4 linked regions of the Lytechinus pictus genome follow. The protein of the gene in region 1 purifies or fractionates together with the protein of each later gene. This does not show direct contact. Links are inferred from orthologs where the notes say so. Each region holds a gene or a part of one and is shown on either strand. Other genes may lie near its edges.

What was found.
Region 2: the proteins of DIS3-like exonuclease 1 (region 1) and exosome complex component MTR3-like purify together in Homo sapiens (affinity purification with mass spectrometry; 3 studies listed by BioGRID and IntAct, with this or other methods). This does not show direct contact. The link is inferred for Lytechinus pictus from reciprocal best matches to the Homo sapiens genes DIS3L and EXOSC6.
Region 3: the proteins of DIS3-like exonuclease 1 (region 1) and M-phase phosphoprotein 6-like purify together in Homo sapiens (affinity purification with mass spectrometry; 3 studies listed by BioGRID and IntAct, with this or other methods). This does not show direct contact. The link is inferred for Lytechinus pictus from reciprocal best matches to the Homo sapiens genes DIS3L and MPHOSPH6.
Region 4: the proteins of DIS3-like exonuclease 1 (region 1) and eukaryotic translation initiation factor 4E type 2-like purify together in Homo sapiens (affinity purification with mass spectrometry; 3 studies listed by BioGRID and IntAct, with this or other methods). This does not show direct contact. The link is inferred for Lytechinus pictus from reciprocal best matches to the Homo sapiens genes DIS3L and EIF4E2.

Annotation. Positions count from the first base shown.
Region 1 is NC_087249.1:24,490,808-24,498,425, reverse strand, and holds the start of DIS3-like exonuclease 1, read left to right. Parts: upstream 1-4,163; 5' UTR 4,164-4,298; intron 4,299-7,618. Other genes in the region: molybdopterin synthase catalytic subunit-like, read left to right, coding at 670-738. UniProt on the Homo sapiens protein: Catalytic component of the RNA exosome complex which has 3'->5' exoribonuclease activity and participates in a multitude of cellular RNA processing and degradation events.
Region 2 is NC_087245.1:11,454,941-11,462,610, reverse strand, and holds the start of exosome complex component MTR3-like, read left to right. Parts: upstream 1-4,388; 5' UTR 4,389-4,637; coding exon 4,638-4,727; intron 4,728-7,670. UniProt on the Homo sapiens protein: Non-catalytic component of the RNA exosome complex which has 3'->5' exoribonuclease activity and participates in a multitude of cellular RNA processing and degradation events.
Region 3 is NC_087246.1:60,405,788-60,413,520, reverse strand, and holds the start of M-phase phosphoprotein 6-like, read left to right. Parts: upstream 1-4,147; 5' UTR 4,148-4,294; coding exon 4,295-4,357; intron 4,358-7,733. UniProt on the Homo sapiens protein: RNA-binding protein that associates with the RNA exosome complex. Involved in the 3'-processing of the 7S pre-RNA to the mature 5.8S rRNA and play a role in recruiting the RNA exosome complex to pre-rRNA; this function may include C1D.
Region 4 is NC_087260.1:10,323,163-10,331,362, forward strand, and holds the start of eukaryotic translation initiation factor 4E type 2-like, read left to right. Parts: upstream 1-4,863; 5' UTR 4,864-4,965; coding exon 4,966-4,985; intron 4,986-8,200. Other genes in the region: mediator of RNA polymerase II transcription subunit 4-like, read right to left, coding at 909-969, 2,103-2,170. UniProt on the Homo sapiens protein: Recognizes and binds the 7-methylguanosine-containing mRNA cap during an early step in the initiation. Acts as a repressor of translation initiation.

The sequences.
Region 1 (7,618 bases):
GAAGAAACTAAGTGAGGGCTTTAAAAAAAGAAGGAGAAAACAACATTTCAACAAAAGTTCAGGGTACACTCAAGCACACTATGATCTTAGTGAAACTTCTTAGATGTCTGCAAAAAACTTGTGCTCTTAACTTTTCTTTTCTATTCAATTTTACAACTTGAAATTTTGACAGTATGAAGAAGAATTTCTCCTACAGATAAGGTATTTTAATTTTGCTATACCTTCCCTTGTGACCAATTTTTTTTGTTTTGGGGTGACTGAATTGCCTTAGAATTGATGTATTACAATCCCACGCCTGCATGCATCTCTTCATGATATTACATCAGGTTGCAAGACACCCAAGTCTTACTTTGAATTGTGCAGGTAAATTTAGACTTTAGATTGTTTAAAAATTTTCACTTATATTCTTTATTATTTGTTTAAAGTCTGTAGAATATAATTTAGGATAAATTAAATTTGAGTGTTAAATTCCTTAGCTGAAAGTGACATATATAATCAGTGTATTTCATTTTCTTTCTTTTTTCCCCTCCCACTTATACTGTTTCTGTCTTTTTTTTCTTTTTCATACACCACCATGTGCTTTTATCTCTCATGTATTGTCTCTTTCACCTTTTTTCTCTTTTAATTTCCCTTGTATCTGTTTTCCCATCCTCTAATCTATTTATACAGGAAATATATGAAGAAGGAGATGGATGCTGGAAGGAAAATAAAGAGTGTCCATGGGCCAGCAAATCATGATGTAATAAAACTGTTTTATATGTATTTTTCTTTTTCTATGACGTGTATTTTTTTCTCATTCAATTCTAATTCAAAGGAAACATGTTACAACACTGGCCTGTAATTTTGATGGTTTATGGCCAGGCCACTTTTCTTCAGAACACATTTCTATATAACGCAAATGTGAAAAAGTTCAAAAGGTCACCAAAAATATCTAGGGCTAATAATAAGTGGGGCAATGAAGCCAATTAGTAGCATGCAAGATCATACCTTTAATGGCATTGGAGTAATTTTAATAATTCAAATCCTACTATTACAAAAAATATTTCAATATTACAAGGCCTGAGTCCTTTGGGGGAAATGCCTTTGCTTCCATCACATTAGGTATAATTGAAGGAAAACAAAGACCACAGACTGAATTACAGTACTCTCTTTGATAAGCAGTCTGTAGAAAACCATCACAAAGCTTAATTTTCGAAAAGTTTTCCATCCATTTTTTAAAATGTATTCAATTTGAGAAGAATTTGGATAATCATAAGTGTCTGGTGTGTCAGGATACAGAAAAGTAATGGTGGTTAACATTTTGTAATTTAATGGATACATTTGATGGGTAACACAATACAGATTATGTTTTCATGAACAGGCAAGTTTAATAGAGTCACAGCACCAAACTGTGTTTTTGATAAGTTTGGCTTTGGTTTGATCTGTTCTATTTCCTTTGACTTTTGAATTCTAGAGGGTTAATGTCGGGACTGTCTTGTGTGATCACTGTTACTAAGTTGAAGTCAGTTTTAGAGGGTGCAGATCAATCAAATTTCAAAACATTGATTGCATTTTACTTAACATTTATTTTAATGTTAGTGAATTTTCTTATGGGATCACACTCAAATAACAGGAACAGATTGACAAGTAATAACAAGTGTCATGGCCTGTGTTCACTCATATTTTTCTGGGATCAGTTTATTCATTGATAAGTGCAATAGATAGATTCACAACAGAAATGCCATATCATTCTTGCATAATCTTTTATGTGATTATATGGAGGAGATTATTGAAGTAGAATTTTTTATTTAAAAAAAAAAATAGTTTTATTATTATTTTTTTTTTATATAAAAGTCATGAGTGGGAGAGCAAAAATATATCTAATTGAGGGTTGAGAAACAGGAAGTAACTAATTTGTGTAGATTTGGTAAAAATTGATAAGCACTGCATCTAAAGATTATGAAGGGTATTATTAAAGCCTTTATTACAATGAACTTTCTGTTGCCTGTAAAGCAAAACAACACCTCACCCCATTTCAATAGCTTTGGTAGAAAAATATATACAAAGGCTTACGTAGGTAATAATAAGAAAACACAGTACATGTATTAATTGCCATTGAACTTTCCCATGTAAGCGAAAGATCATTCTTGTGAAGTGATTTGAAGTCGTGTAGATGATTATCAAATATAATTTATGATGTGACACAATGACATTTATAGTGAAGATGTGTTTGTGCCTTAAATAAGTATATTTATTGATCTACTACTTGATTATAAAATTGAGTTTTCAATGAAAATTTATGAATTTTTGTCTTCTTTGTGGATTTTTGTGATTGTGATTCTACTACCCAAGTATAAGGGACCAGGGGGCTTTTTGTAAAGCTGTTGGTAAGTTAAGAGCGACTGGTGATCCTTTTTTGTGGTAAATCAGGGAATAATTTTCCTGGTATCGCATCGCAAATTGCTTCACATTTTTGAAAGACTGCTATGCATAAAATCTTTTGTATAGCATAATTTTACATAGGACTGTACATTACTTAGTTGAGAGCTTTTCTCTTAAAACCAAAAATGCTATTCATATTTGTAAAGCAAAATTATTCCCTGTAAATGATATTCACCATTAAATGTTCGTTGGTGATTATTTAGCGCGTGAGAAAGGTTCACCAGTCGTTCTTAGAGTCACTCTTAACTTACGAACAGCTTTATGAAACGGCCCCCTGATATGTTACTTGAGATGACATGTTGCTCTTTACCAAGAAGAAATTCTGATTAAGATTTAGATGTAAACTTCAGGATATATTGGAAATGTATAACATGTCAGCCTTGTTGGGACAAAACTTTCAGACAAAGTCATTGCCTTGATCTGGCTAGTCCCAAGTCGTGAAAATGTTAAATTACTGAACAGCCTAGCTTGTATGTCAAGATGGGCTTGATAGATGTAAATGCAAAAGTCTCTACTCAGTGTCAGTTCCATTACTTGGGGATAGACCGATTCATGATAATAGAATCTTAATTAGTCTGCTGTTAAATTCTTAGTGCAATTTGACTGTGGAGTCCTTATGCATGGAGAATGGACCAATAGTGGATGAATTACTGAAAGGGGAATAAGTGGGCTTGACTTTGACAACCTCAGTGCTGCCTTGAAGATTTCCCAGACATTTAGGACTACATGTATAGTCCATTCGTTAAAAGAGAAGTTCAACATAAAAGTTTTGGATAAATAGTTGTTTATGAATTAATTTTGTGGAGTCATGCGAGTAAGGGGAGGGGATCAAGGGAGAAGGGCCCAGAAGAAGAGGCCGAGAAGATTGGAGAGCAATCATTAAGATGGAGAACAATTTTCACTCATCCTACAGTCGTTATTTATATGCCCATTTAAAAAAGATACAATACAGGACATAGAATTTTGGAAGACAAATTAGACAATCCATATTTCAGTATTTTTTTGAAGATCGTGTTTAGGGATATTTTTTTGTAGAAAACAGACCATTTGTGCCGAAGCAGGCCTAAGTGTACTATAATTTATGGTAGCATCCTTCCCTGGGCTATATCATTTTTTCAGATTGAGACATGGCGCCAAATATAGTGCTCGTCTCCCGAACTCACCCCACAAGCTACTCCCTTCACTGACTGTCAGTTTCGCCCTCCAAAATTGTATAGTTCAGTGGCTTTGAATCCAGCTATGTTGTCTCTTAAAGGAGAAGTTGACCCTGACAAATGCTTATTGTAAAAATAACTGAAAAAAAAAACATTGTGAAGGTTAGAGGAAAATTCATGAAAGATTAAAAAGTTATCAGTTCAATTTTTTATTTGTGATATTATATGGGAGCAGCTTTCCATGTATCATGAATAAAAAAAACAATGAAATGTCATTTCCTCAAAAAATTGTGAATTGTTTTTATTGTACTTTCAATATATCAACAGACAAATCACCCACTCCCGATGACCCCCCCCCCCAAAAAAAAAATGAAATTCATGCTTTTTATATTACATAACTTGTGGGGCAGCTGCTCATATATGACGTCATAAATAAAAAAATGAAATTCTAATAACCATCTAAATCTTTGATGGATTTTTCTCTAACCTTCACGATTGTGTTTTTATTATTATTATGGTACTTTTTAAACAAACTTTTCTTCAGGGTGAACTTCCCATTAATTTAGCGGTACGGTCAGCCCATTTTTTCTTTAAAATTTGTAATCTTACGGACTCCATGTATTGTAAAACGGGAAAACCAACTAAGCTAACGAAAACGAGTAAAATTCAGGCAATTTCTGACCTAATGACCTCTTTCACTTGCATGATCTGATGCTGTATTTTGTGAGTATTCGAGCTGTCAAAAATATGGATTATTAGTTTTGTAAATATGGTTCCCATGATGAAATAAATGGTCTCAATGCAAGCCGCGCGCGTAGCTCAGGCTCAGCCTCGGGTCGCCGCCGCTTTGCCTATGGCTACTGGCTATACGCTAGTCCTCGATCCTAGATCCTCCAGCTCCAGCGCACACGTATGTTCACGGCCTCAACTCAGTGGAGCGCGCCATTGAAAGGCCTTTTCGCCTAGCAATATTGTTAGCGACGTTTGTAAGCATCACTTTGCTCACTCTCCAAAATGTCTGCGACATTAAAATTCTAAAAACAATGGATTTATTGAATTTTAGTGAGGCTATGAATGTTTATCATTTACATTGACTATCACTTATCAGTGTAACAACATATACCGAATTTACAAGCAAGTGTGGGTAAGACTAGCCTGGAGGCGTCTGGGGAGTGAAAGACATATACTGTACGTATGGTCCCTCCCCTAACGCCTGGGAGCCTAAGCTATATTCCCACACGCACGGGTACAAAACCTGAAACTTTCGCCCCCGAGATTTCTACTTTCCCTCTAAAAGATCTAGCCCTAAAACATGTACATGGAGTTAAACTCCATTCCCAACATTTCTGCGATATTGATTACATTTTTAAAGAAGAATTCATGAAAAAAAACGAGGAAAATGTTATGAAAAGATGAGAGAGCTTACGGCCGTGTTTACGTCGCCATCTTGATTTCTTTGTCTTCCGCTTGGCGACAGCACGCAATCGCGTGCTGATTGCGTGCTGTCGCCAAGCGGAAGACAAAGAAATCAAGATGGCGACGTAAACACGGCCGTAAGCTCTCTCATCTTTTCATAACATTTTCCTCGTTTTTTTTCATGAATTCTTCTTTAAAAATGTAATCAATATCGCAGAAATGTTGGGAATGGAGTTTAACTCCATGTACATGTTTTAGGGCTAGATCTTTTAGAGGGAAAGTAGAAATCTCGGGGGCGAAAGTTTCAGGTTTTGTACCCGTGCGTGTGGGAATATAGCTTAGGCTCCCAGGCGTTAGGGGAGGGACCATACGTACAGTATGGTGAGACTACCACATATCGACCACCTCTTTTGAAACCGACCACCTTGCGCGCGTTAAAATTATTGCGTATTACAAACGATACGCGCGGGAGAGTAGGCGCAGTGTCCATAGAAACGGTAAGAATCGATTTTACGAGAAAAAAAGAAGCAACAAAAAGTAAAAATTTAGTAGAATTAATCAAAATTGTATTGACCAGACCCAATTCCCGCTGAAAAACCAAGAAATCCGATAGGAAACGGCTTTAGAACAAATATCCGTCGTCAATCGTCGAATCATGTGCCGGAGCTCGCAGTGGAAGTAGTGAGACGATCATTTAGCATGTTGACTTTATAGAACTGATTTGGAAGAGTAAAAATATTTCGCCACCGCGACAAGAATCGGCCGTAAACTTAGTGTATCGCGGGTGGTCGGTTTCAAAAGACGGGTGCAAATGAGCAAATGTAAAATCGTCGTATTCGTTGTTCGTCGATATATACGCGGATTGAATCGGAGTCGCCGAGCGAAACATGGGAATCTGATCTGCTCAATTTTCTGCACAAATGGGACTAAAACTGGGTAAAATTGATGAATATTTTCGCAGATACGATGCTGAGAAGATTAGGTGGTCGATAAGGGGTAGTTCCAACCATATATGTCTTTCACTCCCCAGACGCCTCCAGGCTAGGTAAGACTTTGAATTATCAGTCATTTCGATGCAATCCCAAAATTGATGAAAATATAACAGAAATTTGATATAGCATTGCAAAATCCTTATTTTCATATCCCCTTAAATTTTAATTATTTGCAAAAGCATCTTAGTACGTTTCCTAGAATTTTTCACAACTGATAACGGTGGTGGCTTATTGATTCTAGTTTTTTTAAAGAAATGGCAGGCATTTGAAATCAGGTAAATTGTTGTTATATTTTTAAAAGAAAATCGTTAGATTCGAACAACTTACTAATAGTTCTCCAAAAGAAGGGTTATATTCTATTATCTGTGTGTAAATGATACATGACGACAAATTTTACGAGTATATCATTGCATGTTGGATAACCTTTTCCACGATGAGTTTCGTAATTGAGAGAAAAATCAAGTTCATTCCTAGCACGAGAGCCGCAGAATGATAAATTTTAGCGTGCGCACACGGGCTGATCGCCGTGTCTGCGGGGACGGATATCTAGTCCCATACTGGTGTAAGGTGGTATTTTCCACGTACCTTTTCCCCTTGTAATGACCACTTCGCACTTTAATACTTAATTTTGACACTTAATCTGTGAAATTAATGGTTTAACGATTTTGGAAAATGTTCGGAATATACCTAACACATAAATGATTTCATTTTCTAGAATTATTATTTCTTTCCTGAATTACCAAAAGGCAAATTTAGGTCAAGATTGCATACTCACATTGACTGTTTAGCATAGCGCATGCATATCTATTACAATTTCTATTATGTGTGTCTATATTATATAAATTGTCCTGATGTAAATATATGTTATAAAATCATATTGGATACAAAAATCATGACGGGTGTCATGGTCTGAGTTTTCTTTGTGTATAACAAACAAAATACTGCATGATTCCAATTTTATTTGAACATGTCATCGTATGCAACGGCAATTTCAATCAGTTTATAATTTTCTTTTGCTTAGTCAGCGTTTATTTTTCAATGTGCAGAATTGGTTCGCAAGCGGTTTTTACACCAAAGAGCTTGCCAAAGAGCTCATTCCTGGCACTTCGACTAAAGATGGATATGATTATTTTGTTTCTCATGGTTATCCATTTTTAAAAACAATATTTATTTACTGCAGCCAACGAGTTCCTGACACAATTTATTTTTAGACTAAAAACTACATTATGAATGTCCCCCGAGCGGTCTTAAAATAAAAAAGAAATACCCTTTTTCGCAAATGAATCATAGTTGTAGCTGTAAAATTACTTTGTCTTAATTCCTTTTCTCTTAATTTAATATTTTAGTATTTCATTTACATAACCTAAATGAAGGAGGATTCGGAATGATTATTGTCTGATGATTATGGATGTGAAAGGACCCCTCCCCAAAAATAATAATGAGTAAGAATAAATAAATAAATGAATAAATAAATGAAATGAAATTAAATAAAAATAAAAGTCAGTAATCTTTAACAGGATAGTTCGAAAGCTTATTTTCAGTGGGGTCCTCAACACGTATAGAATTGTAATTATAAAAGGTAAAATCTGTTTACACTATAAATATGAATATGAATTACTATTAAAAATAAATAAG
Region 2 (7,670 bases), on another chromosome or scaffold:
TAAATGGTAGAGTGGTTTTGATTTTTTCTTCACATAGATACTAAGCATTCGGCGCATTTTTGGTGTTTTAAAAAGCACATTTGCTCTAATAAAAATGCTGATAGTTTAAAAAGAAGCACATGAACCCCTATTTTTTAATGTTTGTACCTCTTAGGTATACCTTCCTCTACAACTCTGCAAATTTTTGTGAAAATGACATGGATTTTGAATAAAGTGCAGCATTTATTGTACGTTTGTAGTTTGTTACTTAAATTTTACATTTTTTAGATTGGGATTTTGTTATCTTTTACGCCATTTTTAAGAACTGACAGTGCTGTTAAACTTAAAATTGCAAACAAATAGCATTATAAATAGATTCTCCATTCTAACGATACAATTATTAACTCTCTTGCGAAATTTGATGACTTTTTCATGTATTTTGACTGAGTAATATAGGTTTAAACTCATTATAGTAATCTTGGGCGGTCTAAAAATGCCAAATTCTTTTGAATGCGCAATTCTTAATAACATCAATTTGGGTGAACTTTGAAGCTCTATAGCAAAAAATCAAGCACATGGACCTATGTTAATTTTTGCATATTTCGAATATTAAGGTTCTAAAATATCTATGTGCAAAGTTTGGTGAAAATGACATGGATTTCACTTTAACTGTGGAACGTCCTTAAAATGTCCCTTTTTCTGATCTGAATGTCAAAAATTTTCAGCTTGCGCTTCACGCTCGCATCATTTGGTTAGTGAAATACGCATGGTCTTCGTGAATTCCTACAAGCAGGCCTTATAATGCCCCCTCTTCAGGTCTAAATTTTCAGCTCGCGCTACGCGCTCGCAATATTTGATTAGTGAGATGCGTATGATAATTATGATTACAATTACTACAAAAAATGCGTCATGTGTTTAGATGTAATTCTAACAAAATCAGCATGCGCTTGGCACTCGCATTAGATGACTATGGTGAGATATGTGTACTCTTAATGGATTCCTTAAAAACATAGTCCTTAATATATCCCAGTTTGGGGGTCAATATATACAAAAATTTCAGCTCGCGCTTCGCGCTCGCATCATTTGGTTTGTGAAAAACGTATGATCTTCGTGAATTCCTACAAAGAAGCCTTAAAATGTCCCTCTTTAGGTCTGAATTTCCTAAATTTTCAGCTCGCGCTTCGTGCTCGCAATATTTGATTAGTGAGATGGGTATGTTAATCATGATTACAATGACTACAAGTGCTTCATGTGTTTAGATGTATATTATTCTAACAAAATCAGCAAGCGCTTGGCACTCGCATTAGATGGCTATGGTGAAATATGTATACTCTTAATAGATTCCTAGAATATAGTCCTTAAAATGTCCCTGTTTGGGGTTCAATATATACAAAAATTTCAGCTCGCGCTTCGCGCTCGCATTGTTTGTTTAGCGAGACAGGTACTTATTATGATTACAAAAATTTGCTTATAATGTCCCTTTTTAGGTCTGACTTTCAAAAAATTTCAGCTCGCGCTTCGCATTATGTGATCAGTGAGATACATATCCGTTTAATGGCACTGTCCTTAAAATGTCTCTATTATGTCAACTGGTAACCGAGCGCGCTTTGCGCGCTCTCTAAGTGACTCAATTTTTTTGCTGGTACCCCCCAATGCCGTGACCCACGGTACGCCACTGATAGAGATTATGCTATAGATTGTGTTATCCATCGTCTAAATAAGATAATTAATAACAACAAAAATATTTATCTACTACCTACTGAAGTCCTAAGTAAAGGAAGTCTTGTGCGGTAAAGGACAATGAAACCATTAAAGCAAATTAGCTCGTGTAAAAGCATGAAAATCAAAGAAGGATCAACGAAGCTGAGCCAAACTGGTCAAGAACAACATATTTGAATGTCATGATCACTAGTGCTAATCGTGTCGTACATCCAGGACCCTTGGGACGATTTTTAATAGGGGTTTGGAAAAAAACAAGCAAAAAAAAAAAAAAAGGGGGGGGGGGTGATTCGCTGCAAAATTAGTGATTTCAATGTTCACATTGTAACGTATACGAATCTGATTTCCAGGGGGTCGTGCTGCCTATGTTGTATACCATACGCAGTACATGTACCTTCAACAAAAATCTGGCTTGTGTCATCACATCGTATTGTCGCGTCGGGTCGGGTTTTCACGAAGCCGGACGATTTGAGAAAAGCTAGGCCCCTAAATTTCCGAAAAGTTAGAGTCCAATTACCCGACCATTCGAGAAAAGTGCATCCTTATTTCCCAAAAAGGTCAGGTCCAGTTTACCCGATATTTTGTGAAAATTATAGTAAAATTCTAAAGTGGTCGGGTGAACTGGACCCGACTATTCGGGAATTTAGGTGGCCCTCACCTTTTCTCGAATTGCCCGACCGACGTGATAACTGGATCTGTGATGGAACAAGCGCAAAAGGGAGCAAACTGTCATTTCCAGGAGAAAGCTAGAAGAACATAATACACGTTTGGAACTTTTTTTTTCACTTTAGGTGCAAGAATGCACCCATCAAAAGAAAGTGCTTCTTTTTTTCTTAGTGTACATGATAAGCTCACGAATGATAGGTCCCATCATATTCCTCCCATTGAAATTAAGTTACAACTATATATTTCCTCTATACTTCTCATTTATTTGTAATTTAATAAATATGCATTATTGTTGTCGGATTTAAAATAATAATAGACAGTTCTTGTATATAGCGCATATCACATTATGAATAAAGACTGTATGCCCGTCCAAATGACTTGAATATTATTACCCCGGCTGTAGTTCATGCAGCCTTCCAGCGATCAGGGCATTTCGAGGAATAAATTCCTGCCAGGTACCTATTCACCTCACCTGGGTTGAGTGCAGCACAATGTGGATAAATTTCTTGCTGAAGGAAACTACGCCATGGCTGGGATTTGAACCCACGGTCACGACCCTCTGTTTCAAAGTCCGGAGACTAATCCACTGGGCCACATTGCTCCACCTATGTGAAATAAATTTCAAACAATGATAGGCCTAATGAAAATGAATTAAATGAAGTAAGCCTATACGATAAGTAAAAAAATTCCATATTTCTAGACCACTATTTCTGTCGAATAGCATATGTTTTTAATTGTGCATTTTGAAATCCTACATCTATACAATTAAGGGATAACGACATAGTTTACACTTTATGTACAGACATTGAAAGTATTATATAAATAATATTGCTGAAACAAAAATAATCGCTGGTTGAAATTAACTTAGATGAACATAGAATTGACGGGCGAGCGCAGTAAGTAAGCAAAAATAAAATCCCCATGATTTTCCTATGCTGAGAACAACCTAGACGATACTCAATGGCATTCATCTATTCTGTTCAGAGTTAGACAATGTCACAAATGACCTCTACTATCCAAAGATTTTTTTTAATGGAGAAGTTTGTTTTAGGCCTACTTATTTACATCAGACACTCACAAAATAACAAGAAGGTCTCGAAAATCGCTTTCGTCTCTCAATCTCTTTCTCTCACTTATAATTTCATTTATACTATTTATTATTTATAATTATTAATATTGTATCATAATCACTTTGTCTAAAGTTACTGTCACTCATTCGTTAAAACGTTTACATTCTGTAAAGTTTCCGTCCCCCCCCCCCAATGTTGCTGTATATGTATACTCGTTTTGCAAAATAACTGAAACCATAAGTTACAGGGCTTGCCTCTCATACCAGCATGGCATTTCTTGGTGTGTCCTCCGTTCTATTTCATTTACTTATCAGCCAAAATCATTTTAGTTCACCTCAATTCAGTTCATGATTTCTTCTATTTTATGTATCATAAATTATGATATTGAACGGAAAGTGAATAAAACTATCTCTAAATCTAAATATTCCAATAACCGATTTCAAAAGTGAATATCTCAATACCTGGATATCATGGAATGCATCACGAGCACATAAAAATGAGATATTCTATTCATCCGCTTTTTTTAGCCAATGAGGCTCGAAAATTAGAAAAGTCTAAAGTGAGTGTTGCTTCGGGTGAAATAATCCTCTAAGAATATAATGTCAGTAGAATCTAGATTTTCTTACAAATGATATATATTTTCACATATTCAATTTTTCTCTCCAAACTGTTCATTAGCATATTAATAACTCTCAAAGCTTTTAAGGACTTTTAGATGACTGCAATGCACTTACAATCAAAATGGCATTTTTTTCATTTTTGAATGAAGATGGGGAGAAAGAATATAAAAAGCGGAAGAAGAAGAGGAGGGAGAGGAAGAAGAAGAAGATGCTTCAGTTTTGATGAATTAAATAAGCATGCATGCATACAGTGCCCTTGATTCTGGACAAACGGCAATACAGTTGCAATTTTTCGCCAGGCCTAAAACTTAGGACCAAAGTGTTGTTCCGGGTCACAAATTTTCGATAAAGACCTCCCATGTTCTCTGTCATTTGACGGGCATATTTAATACATTTACTTTGTTTTTGAATCCTCCGCACATCGCTCATATTATGAGCGAAATGCTTTTGGTGTTTTCCCTATTATTTTGCTCAGCTAACTTTACCATATCACTGCACCCACGATCCTGAAATTTTAAACGAGGTTGACGAAGCTAAGCACTTTTTCCAAATTTAATATAAATTTGAGACATAACTGTTAAAAATGCCGACTGACACCAAGCGCATTCAAGGACCAGATGAATCGCAAAGCACCTTTTTGTATAAGAAACGGACTGATAAACTGCATCAACCGGTAAGTAGAGATCAAGAATCCCTTTCTATTGACTATTCTAACGTCACGGAACCGCTCATCTTCATTAATCATTGGCCGTGACTGCCGGCGTGGGTAACCATCGGAGTCGTGGTGAATTTTCAGTGCAGTTGCAGTTCGCCGCGCCGCAAAACTAATAGGCCTACTAATAGTAAACTTAAAGTAAGGAAACACCCGTTGTTAAACATTTGATAATGATATAATTGAAGAAATTACAGGGAAGCCAATTACAGTCTACAGATTTCAAGCACTCTGCAATTATTCATGGCAATGTCGGACTCGGAATGAAAAAAAAGAGAGCTAGAAATAGAATAGCTAGATTAGAAAGTAAAAAAGGGGCCTAAGCTTTCGATCCTAGCAGAATCTTCGTCGGAGGCAAAATGACAAACATATAAAGTGGAACAACCATAATATAGACCACAAACAAGCTACAGCAACACTAGAAACAAGGAGACAAAAGGCCGGGGCATTAGTGAGTAGAGAAGACCAATCGGGTTAGTGAAGGGGATGAAAGAAAAGGAGTAGGCAGACACAAAGGGAAGTTAGTGTAAGTAAGGCCAGTAAAAGACCTCAAGCCAGGAGGGATTAAAATAATGAGGCAGGCAACATCAAACAGGATCTGGAACAAAACAGTGATAATGGGATGAAAAACAAGAGAATTAGTGAGAGGTGGGTCAAACAGGTTACAAAGAAAGGCTTAATAAACTGGTGCATAAGAGTGGGGGAAAAAAAAGAAAAAGAATGGGGAACAACTGATAATGTGCAAAAGACATATAAGTATATATGATAAAGCATTAAACAAACTAAGAGAAGAAGGTAAGTGTAAATATGTATCTATAAGTGATATGTATATAAATATATCCAAAAAAGAAATGTATATGAAAAAATATATAAATACACATATGGTGTAACTGATATTGTAATCCGCTAGGTGTGACGGGAAAAAAACATAAGACTATATAGTAGGAAAAAAAACAAACAAAAAAACCTGTATATGTGAAAAAGAGGAAGCAAATTGCCTAAAAAGGTAAAAGCAAATATAGAAGAGAGGGGGTGTATTATGAAGAAACCATAGTATACATGTAAATAAGCAAATGTGGTAAATCTAAAAGAGGTGAGTGGAGAAAAAACAAATATATATATATATATATATAATAATTATTATTATATCGCCTGAATAAGGAAGGAAAAATTGGAGCTGAGCTTGTATGAGATATGGGAGGAAAGTAGAGTAAGAAACTATAATGTAACTATTCAAAAGAGCTGAGGGGAAAAATTATATGTATATATAAATTGAAAGTGGATAGGAAAGAAAAATCAGTCGTTCCCCTCTTGGATGTTCAGGCCATGAGGTTGGGTGGTGCGAAGTCGTTTCATCCAGAGCTTCTCCCTGCTAGTACGGACTGAGTCAGGACGGGTACCTAAAGATTCGATGCCCTGTAGCATCATGTCAGTGATGGAGTGGTTGGGGAGGTTAAAATGGCGGCCAACTGGAGTGTCCAGCTTTGCTGTGTTGACGGTGGATCTGTGCCCATAGAATCGTTTCTTGAGTGTGGTCTTGGTTTCCCCTATGTATTGTACCCTACAAACTCTGCAAGTGATGAGATATACAACATTAGTGGTAGTGCATGTGATGTTGCCCTTGATTTGGTGAGACAGGCTGGTAGAGTTGCTGGTGAAAGTATCGCCCTCGTGAAGGTGTATTTCACATATGATGCACCTGTTGCTGGTGCATTTGAAGGTGCCATGCTGTATGGGAGAAGAATGGTTAGTGAGGGAGGGCACTTCAGCACGAACAATGAGGTCCCTGAGATTCGGTGGGCGTCGGTATGCTAGAAGGGGAGTATCGGGAACGGCCTGTTGGAGACGATCAGAAGTGTGTAAAATGTGGTGGAATAGCTAGATGATAGATCTAACTCTAAGTTGATCATGAATTTGATGAAATGAATAATTTTTTTAATTTTGGTAGCCAAGTCTTATAAAGTCCAAGGCCAAGTAGACCAAAAAGCTTCAGTCTCTGTATTTGGTTGTTCTGCTGAACTGCGTGGCTTCTCACCAATACATAGACTGAAGTCAATGGAGGCCTGTACGTAAAGCTGTAACTTTTACTTTAGCAGTAACGTTAGATCTAACAAGTAACATTCGGCAAAAAACCGATTTTCAGATCGTTTTTGTACATAAAATATCCCATTTACAAAGAAGAAATTTTACATCCAACTTGACAAAGAAATATATAACATTAAGAAATGTAATACTTCAGACCGCAGTTACCGCTAATTCCCTTCAATTGATAAAAACATAGTCATCCTCGATCCTTTCGTTGGTCATCGTAAATTGCCATCTTGAATGACGTCATCATCCTTACAGACGTCTTTACCAGTCGCCATATATCATGATTTATGCCGCTGCATAACGCTTCTCGGAATTTGTCGCTCCCATATCGAAAAGTCTAATCGGATAGCTTTGATAAAAGACTATCTCAACGAACGTTTTCCCTCTCCGGCAAAAAATTTGTAAAAATAAGGAATAAATCATCAGCAACATATATTTTCTATCTTTTATTTCATATTTCGTAGTATCGAAAGAAAGATTAGAGTCTAACGAAAATAGTGCGCAATCGTTCAAGATAATGTAATATCATTTAGACCTCAAGAAAATAAAAATATAGACAAAACAATATAGGCCCGAATTGGGAGAAATGATTACACATGAGAGCTCGCACTTACGTACTTCCGTTGGTGAATGGGGATGATAGTAAAATGTCAGAAATTGTTGAATAAATCCCCAGAAACAACAGTTATTCCTGTCTAAGCCCAAGGCAGGAGCACTATGATATTTCTACATGTATGATAGACCTAGATCTATTTGTCTTTTCATCAAGGAGCCTAGACACTGGCCCTAAAGACCTGTGTGTCGAACGTGGTA
Region 3 (7,733 bases), on another chromosome or scaffold:
GATCTATATTCTAAAAGAATTAGGAATGATTAGAATCAAACTGTGAACATTTAATTTGTCAAAAATCATGTGATATGAAGTTTGAAAAGGGTATTGCCTATCATTCATTCATTCATTGCCCATTTTCTTTTCTCATACGTTATCAATACACTATTTCATTAAACACTCACCATAAATGTTAGTCAAATTTCAGATGATTACCCGATGGATATTTTCATGAACGGGAGGGGGGGGCAATATTAAACTATTCTCAATCTGTTACGTGTCATTTTACTTCTGATAGCCTATCACAAGTAGATCGAGGCTCTGTAATGCAAATGTTTGCAATCAATCACTAAATAATCAATCAAAATCGCTAGTGCATGCCCATTTTTCATTCTAGGAAGTAGTTGAGATAAATAGGAAGACGACATGTGGTTGTAACATATAGTAATTTCATCATCAGTACACAAAATATAAACCCCTCAAAAAAAGTTTGGAAATCTGTGTTTGGCCATCAATTTCTCCCAACTCCCAATTTAACACAATGCATATTTAACATCATTCAAAAGATCATTTAATTCTTTTTAAAATGATACCATGCTTGTTATGATCATGCCATCACGAAAAGAACAGAATTCAAAAGTGTTGGATGAGGTCTGAATTGAAAAGCTGCAAAACGAGCAAAAAAAGTTTGGAAATCTGTGTTTGGCCATTAATTTCTCCCAACTCCCAATTTTACAATGCATATTTTACATCATTCAAAAGATCATTTAATTCTCTTTAAAATGATTCCATGCTTGTTATGATCGGTCAATACACATGATACAGAACATTATTCTTTTGTCTGCGTCAATAGAGATGAAAATCCTTTCAAATCAAGCCCCTGCTTCTGTAGTGATGGTTCTGTGAGATAACATGGTTTGAGTCGTGGTTTGAAATACCCATGCATGTTTGTTTGTTATGTGTTTGCTTGTGCAGAGGTGTGTTTGATTCCATGTTAATGTTGATGTTAAGGTGCATGAAAACAATTAAACATGTTAAAAGAAACCGCTGAGAAACTCACTCATCACCACTGAAAAAAAGAACAGTGACTTTCAATATTGTGTCATTTTGCAACTTTTGAATTCTTACCTTGCCCCACATTTCAATGCATTGCAACTCCATGTGAACCATAATCATATCATGTAGGGTATCATTTTAAAGAAAATTAAATGATCTATTCATTAATATTAATTACACATTGATATTTACTAATACCGATCAAAGTCAAAAGAAACCGCTGAGAAACTCACTCATCACCACGGATAAAAGAACAGTAAAGTTCAATATTGTGTCATTTTGCAACTTTTAAATTTTGAACTTGCCCCACATTTCAAGGCACTGCACCTCCATGTGAACCATAATCATATCATGTAGGGTATCATTTTAAAGAAAATTAAATGTCCCATTCGTTGATATTAATTAAACATTGTTATTTATTAAATCCGAGGAGGGATTATCGATCAAAGTCAGATTTCCAAACTTTTTTTGAGGAGTTTAGTATTTGGTCATTTTGCCTCCGACGAAGATTCTGCTAGGATCGAAAGCTTAGGCCCGTTTTTGACTTTCGAGTTTAGTATTTATCAGTTCACCTCTTTGAATTCACGTTTTCAACAGGAGCTTTTTTATATATGATAATGCGAATGTGTCATTTAAAAGTTTTGTCATTTTTAATCAAGTATATAATGTCATTTACCCAGAGAAATGTTGTCAAGCTGAGTTAAAGTATAAGCGTGGCCGAAATTCATATAAATTTTGATGGCGTTGGACTTCTTACATGCATGATGGAGGATGATGTACAACTACATTCAACTTTATCGAATTTGCATGTTTATTTTTAGAATAAACGTGCGTTTGCGTACATTTCATTTTATATACTGTATAATCCAATTTATTCGTATTATACTCAAATTCATTCCTTAGTAGTTTTAAAATCTTTATTTATCAGGATTTATCATTGTTATGAACATTACACATGTCATGAATTTATGGCCTTTCAATCGATAGAATTTGAAAATTATATTCCGTTATGTTTATGAGTATGGTAAACGTTTATGAAAATTTGGAATATGTTTTCCTTAACAACTGCATTATCTTATTTTTTTAAAGAATGTTTAATAGATTATGGGTCTAACTTGAATATTCAGTTATAATTATGCGTTAATTTTTGCGGAATTTTGAATATGTTATAGCTGAGGCAATTTATGATATTTGATGGGTGTAGTACAGGTGTAATTTTTTTTTTATAATCGACTCTACATGGTCTAATTACTGTGGTACGTACATACATAAATTATTTCGCTACTTTTGTTAGAATATGGTACATTTTCATGCAGTATAATGTTATTGATCAATTGATGAGTTTACACTTCCCTCAATATGAAAAGAAAATATGTTTAGTAAGGTACCATCAAGATCATGTTGCATAGTGTATAACAGTAAAATCATGATAATAGAGAATTTATATCGTTGATTTTATCAGAAAAGAGTGCATTTTCAAGTAATATCATGTCATTATAAATCCAGGGGTACGAGGGGGCCAGTCATCATCCATTAGGGCAAGTCCCCTCTCCCGACCCGAAAAAAGGAAGTTTGGATTTCGTAGAATGGGTTCGACTCTGCAAAATAGATAGTTCGCTAATAGCTCGCCGTAAAACATGTAAATTCCGGCTGATGGCAGGCCGCATTCACTTATTGATGTCGATTATCTTGTTAACATTTTGGGGTTACAGAATGCCCGACAATTAAAATCATTGCAAAAAAGTTGTACATTTTAAAATTTACCTGTTGTGGTAAAGAGGTGAATCATGGGGGAAGATGGTATGTGTGTGCATGTAATTGTGAATGCGTGCATGATCGCTGTATCCCCCCCCCCAAAAAAAAAAAAAAAAAAATAATAATAATAATAAATAAAAATAAATAAAATTGATAAATAAGTAAGTAAATGAGTTAATTAAATTAAATAAATTAAATAAAATAAGGAAGTAAAAAAAGAAAACAAAGCAAAACAATATCGAGCGACATATTTGAATGTGTGGTCATTAGCAAAACAATAAGGCGCCTATTCAACTCGATGACAGTGACCCTGCTTAATTTAACTTTAGAGACACCCCTTCCCCCGTTTTCTTTTAATAACGACACATATAATTTTTTTTTTATTTGATATTGGTATTTGGTATTATTTGTCTTTCAATTTGGAAACAAAAAGTCATGAAAATGATGAAAATTGATATAGGGATTCTCCGGGCTGAAAATAATATGATTTAAACAGATTTCTAGGCATTTCGTCATGGATTTTCAATGAGCAAATTAATGATGTCATATCCCTACTTGTTTTTTTGTATTTTATTAGATGAAATCAGGTTTATTCAATTTTTTTCTACCAAGAACTGAAAAAATTGGATTGATAACTGATTTAGTGCATGATATTGATATATTCATTGCTGCAACTTATTTCATTATAAAGGAGACACATTATTCACACATTTCATGTATGAAAAAAATTAAACAATTATGATTTCATGTTATAACGTAAGAAAAGGCAAAGTGGGGATGTGACATCATTAGTCCATCTAATGAATATTCATGATGCGTGCATATTGCTAAATTTTAAAATTCAATAACTTTGTTATTCATAATCCGATTTTGATGAAATTTTCAGCATTTTGCTTTGTAAATTTTACTCTAATTATTTAATATATAAATGTTTTCAGCCCGGAGTATCCCTTTATTAGAAGTTCAATGAACAAACGAAAATGCATGTTTAGCTTTTTTTAATTTTAATTATTATTATTATTACTTATTATTATTATTATTATCATCAGGGGCCGCGGAACGGTTTTCAAAGTGGGGGGGGGGGGGCTGAGCCAAAAGTGAGGGGGCTGACCATGCAAAAAATCACTATCATATGGTCATTTTACGTTTTTGTACACGGTTTTGGAAAAAAAGTGGGGGCCGGATTGAAGCAATCCCCCCCAGCCCCCCCCCCCCCCCCCCCGCTTCCGCGGCCACTGATAATTATTATTATTATTGTTATTAATTTTATCATTTATTATCATTTTTAAATTTGTGTTATTTTTTTTTATTTGATAATCAAAATATTATACGACTCTCATCACCCCTGGGCATGGACGTCCCTGCTAACTAAGTGCATTTTTATTTTTATTTTTTTTTCTTCTCCAGTGTCGTATTTTCCAATTCTAGTTTGCTTCATGAAAACGAATGCCTGTATGCGTGGTTTTAGAGGTAAAACAGTGTTGCTTTCCTTGTCAAAATGGCCGGAACGAGAGGGCAAAGCAAAAATATTAGACTTTCTAAGAACCTATCTCAGATGAAGGTAATAATATTTTGAGCGTATTATTTTTGTGGGATACAATGCTTTACTGTAAAATGGGTTTTATTGTGAAGATGATAGTAAAGAAATGCTGGGCGTAGTCCCATACCATATTTTCTGTGTAGGGTTGAATTTTTAAACGCAGTGAATAATTGCAGGAATATTAATTATTATTGTTCGATCTAGGCCTACTGCATTTGCATTAATACTATATAGTAGCCTAGCCCTAGGCTTAGTCCACTTATTCAATGAACAAGGTCATGATATAACGGCCTTATCCTGAAATAAGTCACCTCTTCTCGTGAGTGTCGGTGTGTGTGTGCGCTCGTTGTGTACAAAGTCAATGGGAAATGAGATCACCGCTGCTGACGAAATGAACGGCAGTGAATGGAGTGGTGACCTAAACCAGGATAATGCAAATATAACCTTGTTCTCTGTTAGTACTCCATGGCATGTGTTGCAAAATAAGGTTGGCAATGTTTGGCTTATTTTCTCTTTTTCTTTGGAACAAATGCTTGATTGTTTGACACTGTCTTGTCTTGTCTTTCCGTTAAACGGAGTTCAGTGGCCTGTTGCATGACGAGATGAGCGATACGTAGGAACGTCCTAGGACCATTCTTCCGAGATAGGAAGATTGGCGACAAATCAGCGCTTTCCGTTTCACGAAGGCAATTTTGTCTTTCAAGTCCGCGACATCGTTTGATATCGATAGTATCGGAAAAATATTTAGTCTTCATCGTCACCTGAACCTTTTATTTCGGAATGACGACTTTTCATAAAATCATATATTTCAATAAAAGGGGATCAAATAATGTTTTATTTATTACTGATTGTAGAATTGATGTATGGAGCGTACTTTATGAGGTAAAAAGAGAAAAAACTTTCAAGATTCACAAACATAACTGGATAAAATCGAAATTTTCATTATTTCCCTTATTTAGAACACGGTGTCCTTTTAGAGACACCTTTCATTGATATTTCAACGAAAGAGACCCTTGTCCGACATAAAAATTGATTTAACTAAGTAATTTCGACATTTTATTAGTTCAATATACTGATTTTTTATAGAATACATATATACAATGATAATTTTGCAAATTATGCGTTAATTGTTGAGGTTAAAAATTGGGTTTGAATGGAGTAAACAAAATCAACAGTGTCTGATTGTATGAGACTAAAAAGGAAAATATGAGAGGCTGCCTGTGAAAAATCTAATTTATTTATTTTATTTGTCAGATAAAACGCAAGAAATACAAATGTGAGTGTTTAGAGTACAAACATACCTCAATTGCATGATGAGTAACCGAAGACAAGGAAAATATGAAAATTGCTGCAAACATGTCTAAGTGGATAAAGTAGTGCTTTGCAATAACAATTAAAACATAGAAAAAGGTGTGCAATCCGCAATGGAAAAAATACTATTTACAGAAATAATGCTAAATATTACAATGATCATAAACGTTGGTCATCTTTAAAGTTGATTACTTAATTTATGGAAGCTTATATAAGAATATAAGTTTTAAGAATATAAAAAATATATATTTAACATTTCAAAGTTGAGGAGTAGAGAAGCTTTAACATTACTTAGGGGCCGAAAGGGGCCTATATGTACCCTACGATTTAAAATGCGCCTCTTCGTATGGACTTTCCAGATTTTTTTCTTTAATGAACTAGCTAGCTTATCTTCATTTGTAATAATTGTGATGGATTCGTAATATAGCTATACTCCTAATCTGTATCTTAAATTCAATTAGCTATTTTGCTACTGCAGTTTTTTTGTTTTGTTTCACTGTTTCACATCTCAAGTTAGCCCAATTAAAAATCCGACAATTAATTTTCATTGATTAATATCAATCTCAGCAAAAAAAAATAATTATAATGAAAATGAAATAAAAATAAATGAATGATTTACCATGTTTAACATTTTAGTTTTGTATCCTTTTTTTTTGCTGAACGTTATAAACACGTTTTTTACTTTACACAATTTCTTTTAAAGAAATTTGTTTTCATGTTGTTTAATTATCTATAATGAGAAAGCATGAGGGGTCAAAGAGATAGTGCCGCCCATTTCGATATTTCAAAAAAAAATTACGGTAATGGAAATGGTGTGGGGATAGGACGGAGAATAAAAGCAAACATATTTTAAAAAAATATTTGGGCCTACATTACCCCCGGACATAATGCCCGGAGAAGTTAAAATGACATCTGTTTTTGGTCGTCTTGCCGTGCAAAAAGACGACCTGAAATTGATGACAACTAGCTAGCCCCCATATAAAAAATAACTTGGCGCCATCCCAGATAAAATGCATCAGTGTGCAACCCCAAAAAATGTTTAAAGGTGATATGTCAGTGTGCATGGCTTGCCGTAAACGCATTTTCTCTCAATGCCGACGGTGGCGGGCGGTGTGCAAAGAAGATCATGCCTACGAAGGACATGTCTGGAGGTGTCTTTCCAAGGACCATTCTTCGTATCGCCCAAATCGGCTTTGTGAAACAGTTGAGCGATATCTCGTTCTTACGTAGAATGGTTCTACGAAAGACCCTTTCATGCAACAGGCCCCAGCTGAACAACCAACATAACAGAGACCGAAGCTTTTGGTCTAGAGTCCTATATGTACAGTACATGACATAGCCTGGATGGAGGCTTCTGGAGAGTAAAAGTACTAGTATTAGTTTTATTACTACTGACGTAGGCTTACTCTCCATGAAGCCTGGGTCGGCATACCATTGCTCTACATGCACCGACGAATTGGCCAAAATACTTGTTATTTTTATTTTTTAGCCTATACTTGTGTACATGGGCTACAATATTGGTTGGCAACTTTTGGCCAATTTGTTGCCCAATTCGTCGGTGCGTGTAGAGCAATGGTATGCTGACCCAGGCTTCATGGAGAGTAAGCCTACGTCAGTAGCACTACTTTTACTCTCCAAAAGCCTCTAGGCTATATGTACGCGGGACCAACATTTGCGTCCTTTTCGATGGACGGAGTGTTTTTCTACTGCATTCACACCGGCACTGCATACAGTGGTGAGGCACGCTAACAACGCATAGCATCAGATTTTTGTTAGACATGTTTCGGCATAAACGGGACTCGTTGAGATCTACGATCTTAAATTCCGAAACATGCGCTCTAACCGACTGAGCTACGCTGCATCCTGTCACTGTCACTCGGATTCTATTACAGCTAATCATCATAACCTGGCTCTTAAGTAAATTTGATTCTTTTAATTATTTCTTCTAAATTAAAAATAGAGTTCGAAAAATGAAAATTTTCTTGCCATATTACTTTCCACCAATAGAGGGTGTACACAAAAATATGCCTAAAATTCAAGTTTTTTGGCGCTCTGGTGAATACAAAAATTATTCCAGAGTTACTAA
Region 4 (8,200 bases), on another chromosome or scaffold:
GCTTCGAAAGAAACCAAGTATCAACATACATACAAATGCACATGTGGGACTGTGATGTGTTTTTATGTGTATTAATTCATGTGGAAATCGGTCTTTTTGAGTCAAAAGAGAGGTCATAATTCCTCTTCTTAATACTTGCAAATAATCAGGGTACACCAGATTTTCGTAATATAGACTGTAGAATTGCATTTCATTGGTGTAAAATGTGACTTTGACTGAGATTTTCAAAGTTCTGTGGAAGATTTCTCAGCAGCAACATTTTTTATCGCAGCTCCCCGAATCTGAGTAGGCTGAGCTAGATCTAGAGCACAGCTGTATTCAGTGGCTTCATGCAAAGCTCACGCCAGCCGGCCGGCGCGGTTGGCTGGATAATAGCTGCTGTATGCTATAGCTGTAGGCCTAATATGCAAACTTTGTGTGTGTGTATTTGTGTGTAGATCAACAAAAAGGGCGCATGACGAACTGGCTTGCAATTTGAGCTGTAGAAAGTTGATAAATGCGTGCAAAATTGGGAGAAAAATTGCGCTACTTTGAAAATTATTGGTTGCCCGATTCGGGCCACCAAAACTTAACATTTTATCAATAATGGTTGCCCGAGGTGAATTTTTGGTGGCCCTGGGCCACCGGGCCACCGCTAATGTCGAGCCTTGCATATCGATACAAATACCAAAACATACATCCATAAAATGATGGTTTGGTGACCCAGGAAAAGGCATAGCTTATAAAAAGGGGCCAAGTTAAAATACACACTGAAAATATGATATTTACACTATAAAGTATATTGACACAACAACAACAAAAAAACAATAATTAGAATTTTCTGTTGATCCATTATTTTTGTTTTGTTAGATTTTGCTTTGTTTTTCAATTCTTAGCTTAATGTCACACAGTCATTAAGAAGAACTTACTTGAGGTTCATCAGGATGAGGAACTCTTTGCCTAACTGCTGATGTCGCCTCACCGAGGTCTCTGTGTAAAAAACAAAAACAAAAACACAAATTAATATTTTTCAAGAGCTCCTTTACAGATAAGTTTGCAATTCTGACAGTATTAGAAAGAAAAAAAATACAGTATGTTCTGTAAGTGTAATGTTGTGGTCTATGACTGAGTTAGACCAAAAGCTTCGGTCTCTGTTATGTTGGTTGTTCAGCTGAACTCCGTTGGCTTCACTCACCAAATACAGAGACCGAAGTTCTAGCGCGATCTGTACAGGGGACTCAATGGCCATATGTTTATGTACTTAAGATCGGATAAAACGGGGAAGTGAATTTGCGCGACAGCCGAGGTAAGTCACTGTTTTTGTTCCTTTTAACTCGATTTTTCACCGTTTCTTGGCAATTAATGCCAAGAGGGAATATCAATTTGCATTTTGGTCGCATTAATTTTCAAAATGTTTATTGATTAAAGACAAAAATTGAAGAGCCCCGACGGGGGGATTTTGCATTGCAAGTCCCCTAATGGTGGCTGCACGCTAGCGAGCCGTCTGTGTATGAGGAGAACTTAAAAAAAAAAAATGTTAAAAAACTCCTCAAAACAGACGGCTGCCAGCTGTCTATGACTGAGTACGACTTATGAGCATGCAATAAAGTGAGATGTATGCCAACAAAATATCCCTCTTTCCCACCGTTTATCCCTCCTTTCCATTGTTTCTTTTTCTTTCTGTCTCTCCTCTTTGCTCTAGGCCTAGTCTTACTTCCCCATTTCATTTTGACTTTACTTTTTCTATTGCCCCTTTTGTTTTATTCTTCTTGGGTTCTCACCCCTTTTCCTCTTTTTCTGTTATTATTCATTTCTATTTCATTTCGTGCACTTTCTCTTTTACTCGTAGAATCTAATGCTCTGTTTTTCTTTCCTTTCCTCTCATCTTCATGGTATATCAATCCCCAGCAAAGTAGTAGCGCTGCCGCTGGCTCCCTCCTCCAATCGCGGCTGCCTGGCTTGGGCTGGCCGAGGGCCGAGGGCGAGGCGAGAGTCGTTCAACATCTGAACAAGGCCAAGCCCAAGTTGTCATTACAAGAGTTAGGTAAGAGAGAACCAAAATCGTTCATCAAATGTATTCATCACATCACCAAAAATACACAGTATAATCAAATTTATCTCACTTTGTTAACACTTCTGCTTCTTCCACAAGAGAAAGAAGTCTTGATTTTGCCGTCATGGAAGCCGCCATCTTGCTTTCGTCGTGACAGAAGTGAACGTAGATGGTGCTCGACTACTTTATAGATTTGGCAAAAACTTGTGAGTGAAAATGTACCGTATGTAATACATATATTTGCCCCTTGATTTGCCCCCACCACGGGGGGAAAGGCAATCTTTCAATAAAGTTCAAAGAAAAATAAAAACAAAAGAAGAAGACCAAAAAAGAATACTAGATGAAGCTTCATCCTCCATTTTTTCACCATCTGTTTTGGGTTTTTTTTTTCTTTTAATTATTATCATTTTTTTTTGCATGATTAGCCGAGCCCCCTCGATCCCTTTTCAAGACCCGTCATGCCCATGCATTAAATCATATATTACATTTTTTTTTAAGAAGGCGATATCCAAGGTGCGGAATAAATGTTATTTATCATCAAAACTATATAATAATAATACTTTACGCTCTTTCGTGATACAAGGTCAAGCCCGGCCATGCAGTGGCGACGTGAACCCAAAATTTTGAGAAGGCCAGATATGGCATATTGGGAAATTTTTTTTTTTTGCGAGCGAGTGAAGCGAGCGAGCAAAATTTTTGACACCTTTTCACATAAATCCAAATTTGTGATAGATTTTGACATAATATTCAGAAAATAATATCTTTCACCCAGCTCTTTTTCCTTTCTTTTTCTCTTGGTCTGACAAAAGGCTCCCCCCCCCCCCATTTGTATAGGCCCTTCGTACATCACTGGTCAAGCCGGTCTATAATATACTCTTTTTTCTTTTTTAGGTGATTTTTTACGGATTTTCAGTCAAATTTGACTATTTAAGCCGAATTTATTTTCCCTCATATAAAACTACGCAAAAATAAGTTCACAATGGTGACCGGCTAGGAGATTCAATCAAAATTCATAACGTAAGAAATATGAACTATTAACATGAAAATTGTTTAAAGGGGAAGTTCACCCTAAAAATTATAAAAATATTGGTGAAGGTTTGAGGAAAATCCATCAAAGGTTAAGAAAGTTATAATATTTAATTAGAGTTTTTTTTATTTTTTTGGGTCATATATGAGCAGCTGCCCCATTATAAAATGCATAAATTTTAAATTTGCAGTGGTTCATGATGACTCATTAATTGTTTGATTTCTTTCAGGAGTGGGTGTGACATATTTTTTTTGATTGGTATAGGCCTATACTGATCGAAGGTACAATAAAAACCATTTTCAATTTTATGAGAAAATGAATTTCCATTGTTTGTTTGCTTTTTTACCATACGATATGTGGAAGCTGCTCGCGTATGACGTCACAAATCCAAAAATTGAAATTCTAGTAAATTAAAAAAAAGTTCTTTTAGGGTTTTTCCTCAAACCTTCACCAATGTTTTTTTTATATTATTTCTGCTATTTTTACAACTTTTGTCAGGGTGAACTTTCCCTAATCAGCGGTGGTGAGGTGGTGAGGATTATTTTTCCCCATTGCTAATTTAGCATGAACATGCTTTTAATCGCCTGTTGTCAGTTGTTTTTTCTCTCTCTCGTTGGCCCTATGTATGATTCATTAATACATTTTTTTTCAATGTTAATATTTTTGGTGATTTTGCTTTTTTTTATTCTTGCATTTATACAAGCCACGTTTCTTGGTCTCTTTTACATTTCTTTTCTTTGTTTTTAAGCATACATTCATACATGTACTTTTGAAAATGTTTTATCTATCTTTGATATTTATTTATTGTATTTTTTGCAGTGTTATTGCCAATTAGCAAGTGTCAGCTCATTTTTTTATGATTGATTTTTATTTATTTATGTAATTGATAGGCCTATGTATTTATGAAGGTCTATTTCTGATTTGTGTGTTGAAAAATGGATATAGAAATGAAATAAACCACTGAAAAGAATTAAATTCTATTTACCATTTTTATGTTTTTGTTGTTGCTGCATATTATGGTCTATACGATATAATAATTTTGTATAGGCCCTACACATTTTCGGTATGTTGTTGGTATTGGTGGCATTCAGTTGCTGAGAACAGATTATAGGCGAATTTTTCTTCCTGATTTCTTTTTGTTTGACAATGAATCATATAACGACACATAAATATAATGAAACATACTCAATATCTGTATTTTTTTTTCTTGTCATTATAACCTTTTTTTCGGATATAGATCACCACGAGGGATCGGGGATATTTGCTCTTACCTTTTAAGCTTATAACATCAGACACGATTTTTTTTTAAACTTAATTACTTAAAAATGTTCATCTTGAGAAATCACATGGGATTGGGATTGATTTTTAAAAAATACATGTATATTTCATCAATAAAAAAGGGTATATTTATCGATCTAATTGCATCGAATGATCTCGAAGTCTAATCTAGCTGGGCCAGTTCATTTTAAAGGAAAGCTCTCTCTTGCTTTCATTGTTATTATTATTATTATTATTAGGCCTAGTAGATCTAGAGGTCTAGATCCGTCGCGTCCACATTGATTTTTGGTATAAATTTATACATAAATTGGATATGAATGTACCCAAATTAGACGAACCACCCTCTCTGAACAGTGAACACTTCCGGTAAACAATAATAATAAAAAAAACCCTAAAAATTATAGCCCCCACCGGCCCGGCTGGCTGGGCCCCCTCCTGCCCGGCGCCCCCGACCGGCGGCGCGGCCGCGCCGCGCCGGCCGCCGCGCCGGCAAAAAAACCGATAGTATACTTATCGATATCGATATCGTGAACGTGCGTGGATCATTCTGTATGACTTGGAATTCAGAAGATTACGAGATTTCAACCGTGAATTATCTGCATTTAGACCTCAACAAGGGGACCTAGAGATGAATAACCAATTTGACATGTAAGAATACTAATTATTTAGTGCAGTTTATATGATTTTGGATGTAACGTCTGTTATATTCTACAGCTGGTTTCAAATGCCAGTCCCACCTATTCATTTTTATGTTTTATTTAGCCTATTTATTGGGCGCGAATGCAGTTTCGCACCAGCGGACTTCGAGAGAATTCCCTCACCAGTAATTGTTCACAAATGTCATAGCAAGTCATAGTAAGCCCACCGCTTTTCAGAATATCGAGATAGGGAATCCCTGTATTTTGGTTGGATCTCGACCTAAGTTACTGTCCTAAGCCACTCACACTAATACTTAATAGTAATACGAGGTTCGTATATATATACGAACCTCGTACACCGGACCTTGTTTGACCGTAGATTTTGAAGTAGTCGGCAAACATTGCTTCATTGCTGAAGTAATATTTGCCGAAACTCCTTCTCGCTACGCACCGGGGCTCTTTCCGGTAAGTAGCAATACATAACAAAATTATACATATGATATTGAACTCATTTCATTTAAAAAGAGCAAATTTCGCTTACCTCGGCCTAGCAAGTGACTTCGTTTGTCTCTTCTACGGAAATACAAGGAAGCCCGTTGGTGGCGCTAATAAATTTCACAACCTTGATTCAGCTCCTCGGTAATTTTATAACTGTGTCTAAATTCTTTGAATGCGCAATTCTTATGATTAATTTACTAATTATGGGCACCAATAAATAAAATACCTTCAAAAACATAATTCAGGATTACTATTGGCGATGATAACACTTTTGTTGCAATTAATTTAAAGCGATGACTAATATAATTTTTATTTTTTTTAATACACATGCCTGGAACGAAACCAGCAGTACAAGCAGTATTAACGAACGTCATGGTATACCAAAGTCTATACAATGAAAAGATTGGACACTTCACGGAATTCGCGTAATGCCTTGCGTCGATTTGCGTATAAAATAGTGTAGGTTCCTAATCTTTCCCTTGTCGTGTCTTTGATATGAATATAAATCGCGCGCCCTCTTTAGGCGAAAATTGATATCTACGCTGACCAAATTTTATCTCCGTGAAATCTTCACTAAAGATCAAGAAAATATACATATTTTTAAGAAAAAACTTCAAGGAGAAGTCACGGAAGGATCTAAATGATTCGGTAAGTGTCATAGCAGAATGTGAAATACCAGATTATTGGTGATATTTTATGTGGGCAAAAGCCCACTATCTTTTTGACTTGTCGTGTGTGTCGCGTGCATATGACTGATATTCCTTCGCACGCGAGATGATATGAACCCATGGGTGGACCTAAGCCTGCTTCATTGTTGTTGAATTCTCGTCTCATTCTCAGCTCAGCCTCAGTCAGATTCGGTCAGACTCAGACATTGCTTTGCTTGGAAATGGAAGCGCCATACCGTGTAAAACTATAAATTTTGATATGCCTATGGCTATGCTATGCCTAAGGACTGAAGTTAGCGACCAAAAGCAAGTGATGTCTGACTGAAAATTCGACAATCACCTCGACATCCAACCAAAATACAGCCGTTCCTGCTGATCGCGATATTCGGAAAAGCGATGGGCATATGAATTATGATCTGCCTTGTGCCTGTACTATGTAGAAAAATGTGATTGAGAGACTTCCTAACTAAGTTCCTAATGACATTTGCGAACAATTGCTGGTTGGAAAATTCTCTCGTAGTCGGCCAATACGAAATTGCATTAATGCCAATTGTGTGCACCAATTCAAAGTGTTTTATTTTTTTTAAACTTGTTTGTGCAAGTCGAGACTATTGTAATATTATTGACATCAGACTTTTGTAGATGTTGCCAGGTCAAATTATGCCCAGCACACACTTTCATTAACATGCCAGACCTGGCCAGGTTTTATCCCCCCCCCCCCCAAAAAAAAAACCTGTTGCTGTGCTTGCTCTGCACATGTCCTGGAACTTTGCATTGAAGTGAAGTGTCCTGGCACAAAATTCAGCTCAGCATCACTCATCAGGCCTAAGTTTTCTTATTGGGAACTCAGCTTGTCCCAGATACATTTATACCAAGAACAAGAGAAAGTAAGCCAAACATTGCCAACCCTATTTTTCCCACACATGGGAGTCCTAACAGAGGACAAGGTTATTATTGATTAGTCATATTTGACTATTGTTGCCACTGATTGTTGCCATTGACTTTAAAAAAATCTCATTTTTCACAATAATATTATTACTAATTTATGTTGTGCATCCTTTCAATGTAAAAAAGGTTATAATTTCACAAAGAAGTTAATAAATGATTACCGTAAGTAACGGACTATAAACCGCACCCGTGGATTAACCGCACCCCCAACTTCGGACTAAAAAAAAAAAATCCTCACATTGTATTTGAAGTACGAAGAAACAAAAACTAAGTTAAAGATTTCAAAGTATCCAAAGAGATTACCTGTATGCGGAAATCTGCTGTTCTTGATCAATTCATCTACAAATGTTAGCAAGAAAGGAAGGTCCCGACAATATTGGCCACCTACACACTCACTCACCTCACAGTCACAGTGTACACACACACAGCACTGCCGTTCTTGTACATTGCAAACTACGATACGGTACCAGTACATCTTATCAAATAATGATCTGTGTCTTTCCCGGCGTAGGAGGCAGAAACAATCACATTTCTTGCATCACAAACTCACAATCACTTTCAGAATTTGTCTAGCATTCAATGTCTTAGCATGAATTTTGGATACGGGATTACAGGAAGGTTCAAGAAACAAAGAAATTGGCATTTTTTACAGTTGTTTTAAGGCTTAGTGTCTTCTCTCTCGTGCGTGGTGTACATGGTATCTTATGAAAAGCAAATGGGAAAGAAAAAATAAGCTGGCGCGAAACGGGACTTTGGAGGGGATCGAGGGTTAAAATGAATAGCGCCAGCTTAAGTCGCACTATAACTGACCACAATACAACGCAAGCTAGCTCAGCGCAGCTCTGACCACAATACAACAAAAGCTAGCTCAGCGCAGCTCACTCAACTCTCGCGCTCGCTCAGCTGTGGCAAAATATTACTGAGTATGCTTGGCGTCTCTTTGAAAGGGAATTTCGCTGCTTTGAACCGAGAATAAAGTCGAAATTAGTGTCATGAAGGTGGGTGCGTTTGTTATGGACAATATTTGAGAAGATCGTAATAATCGCTTCTCATTAACCACGGCTCATACCCCTCTAAACGACATTGCCCTGGGCGACTACGCCCGGGCACT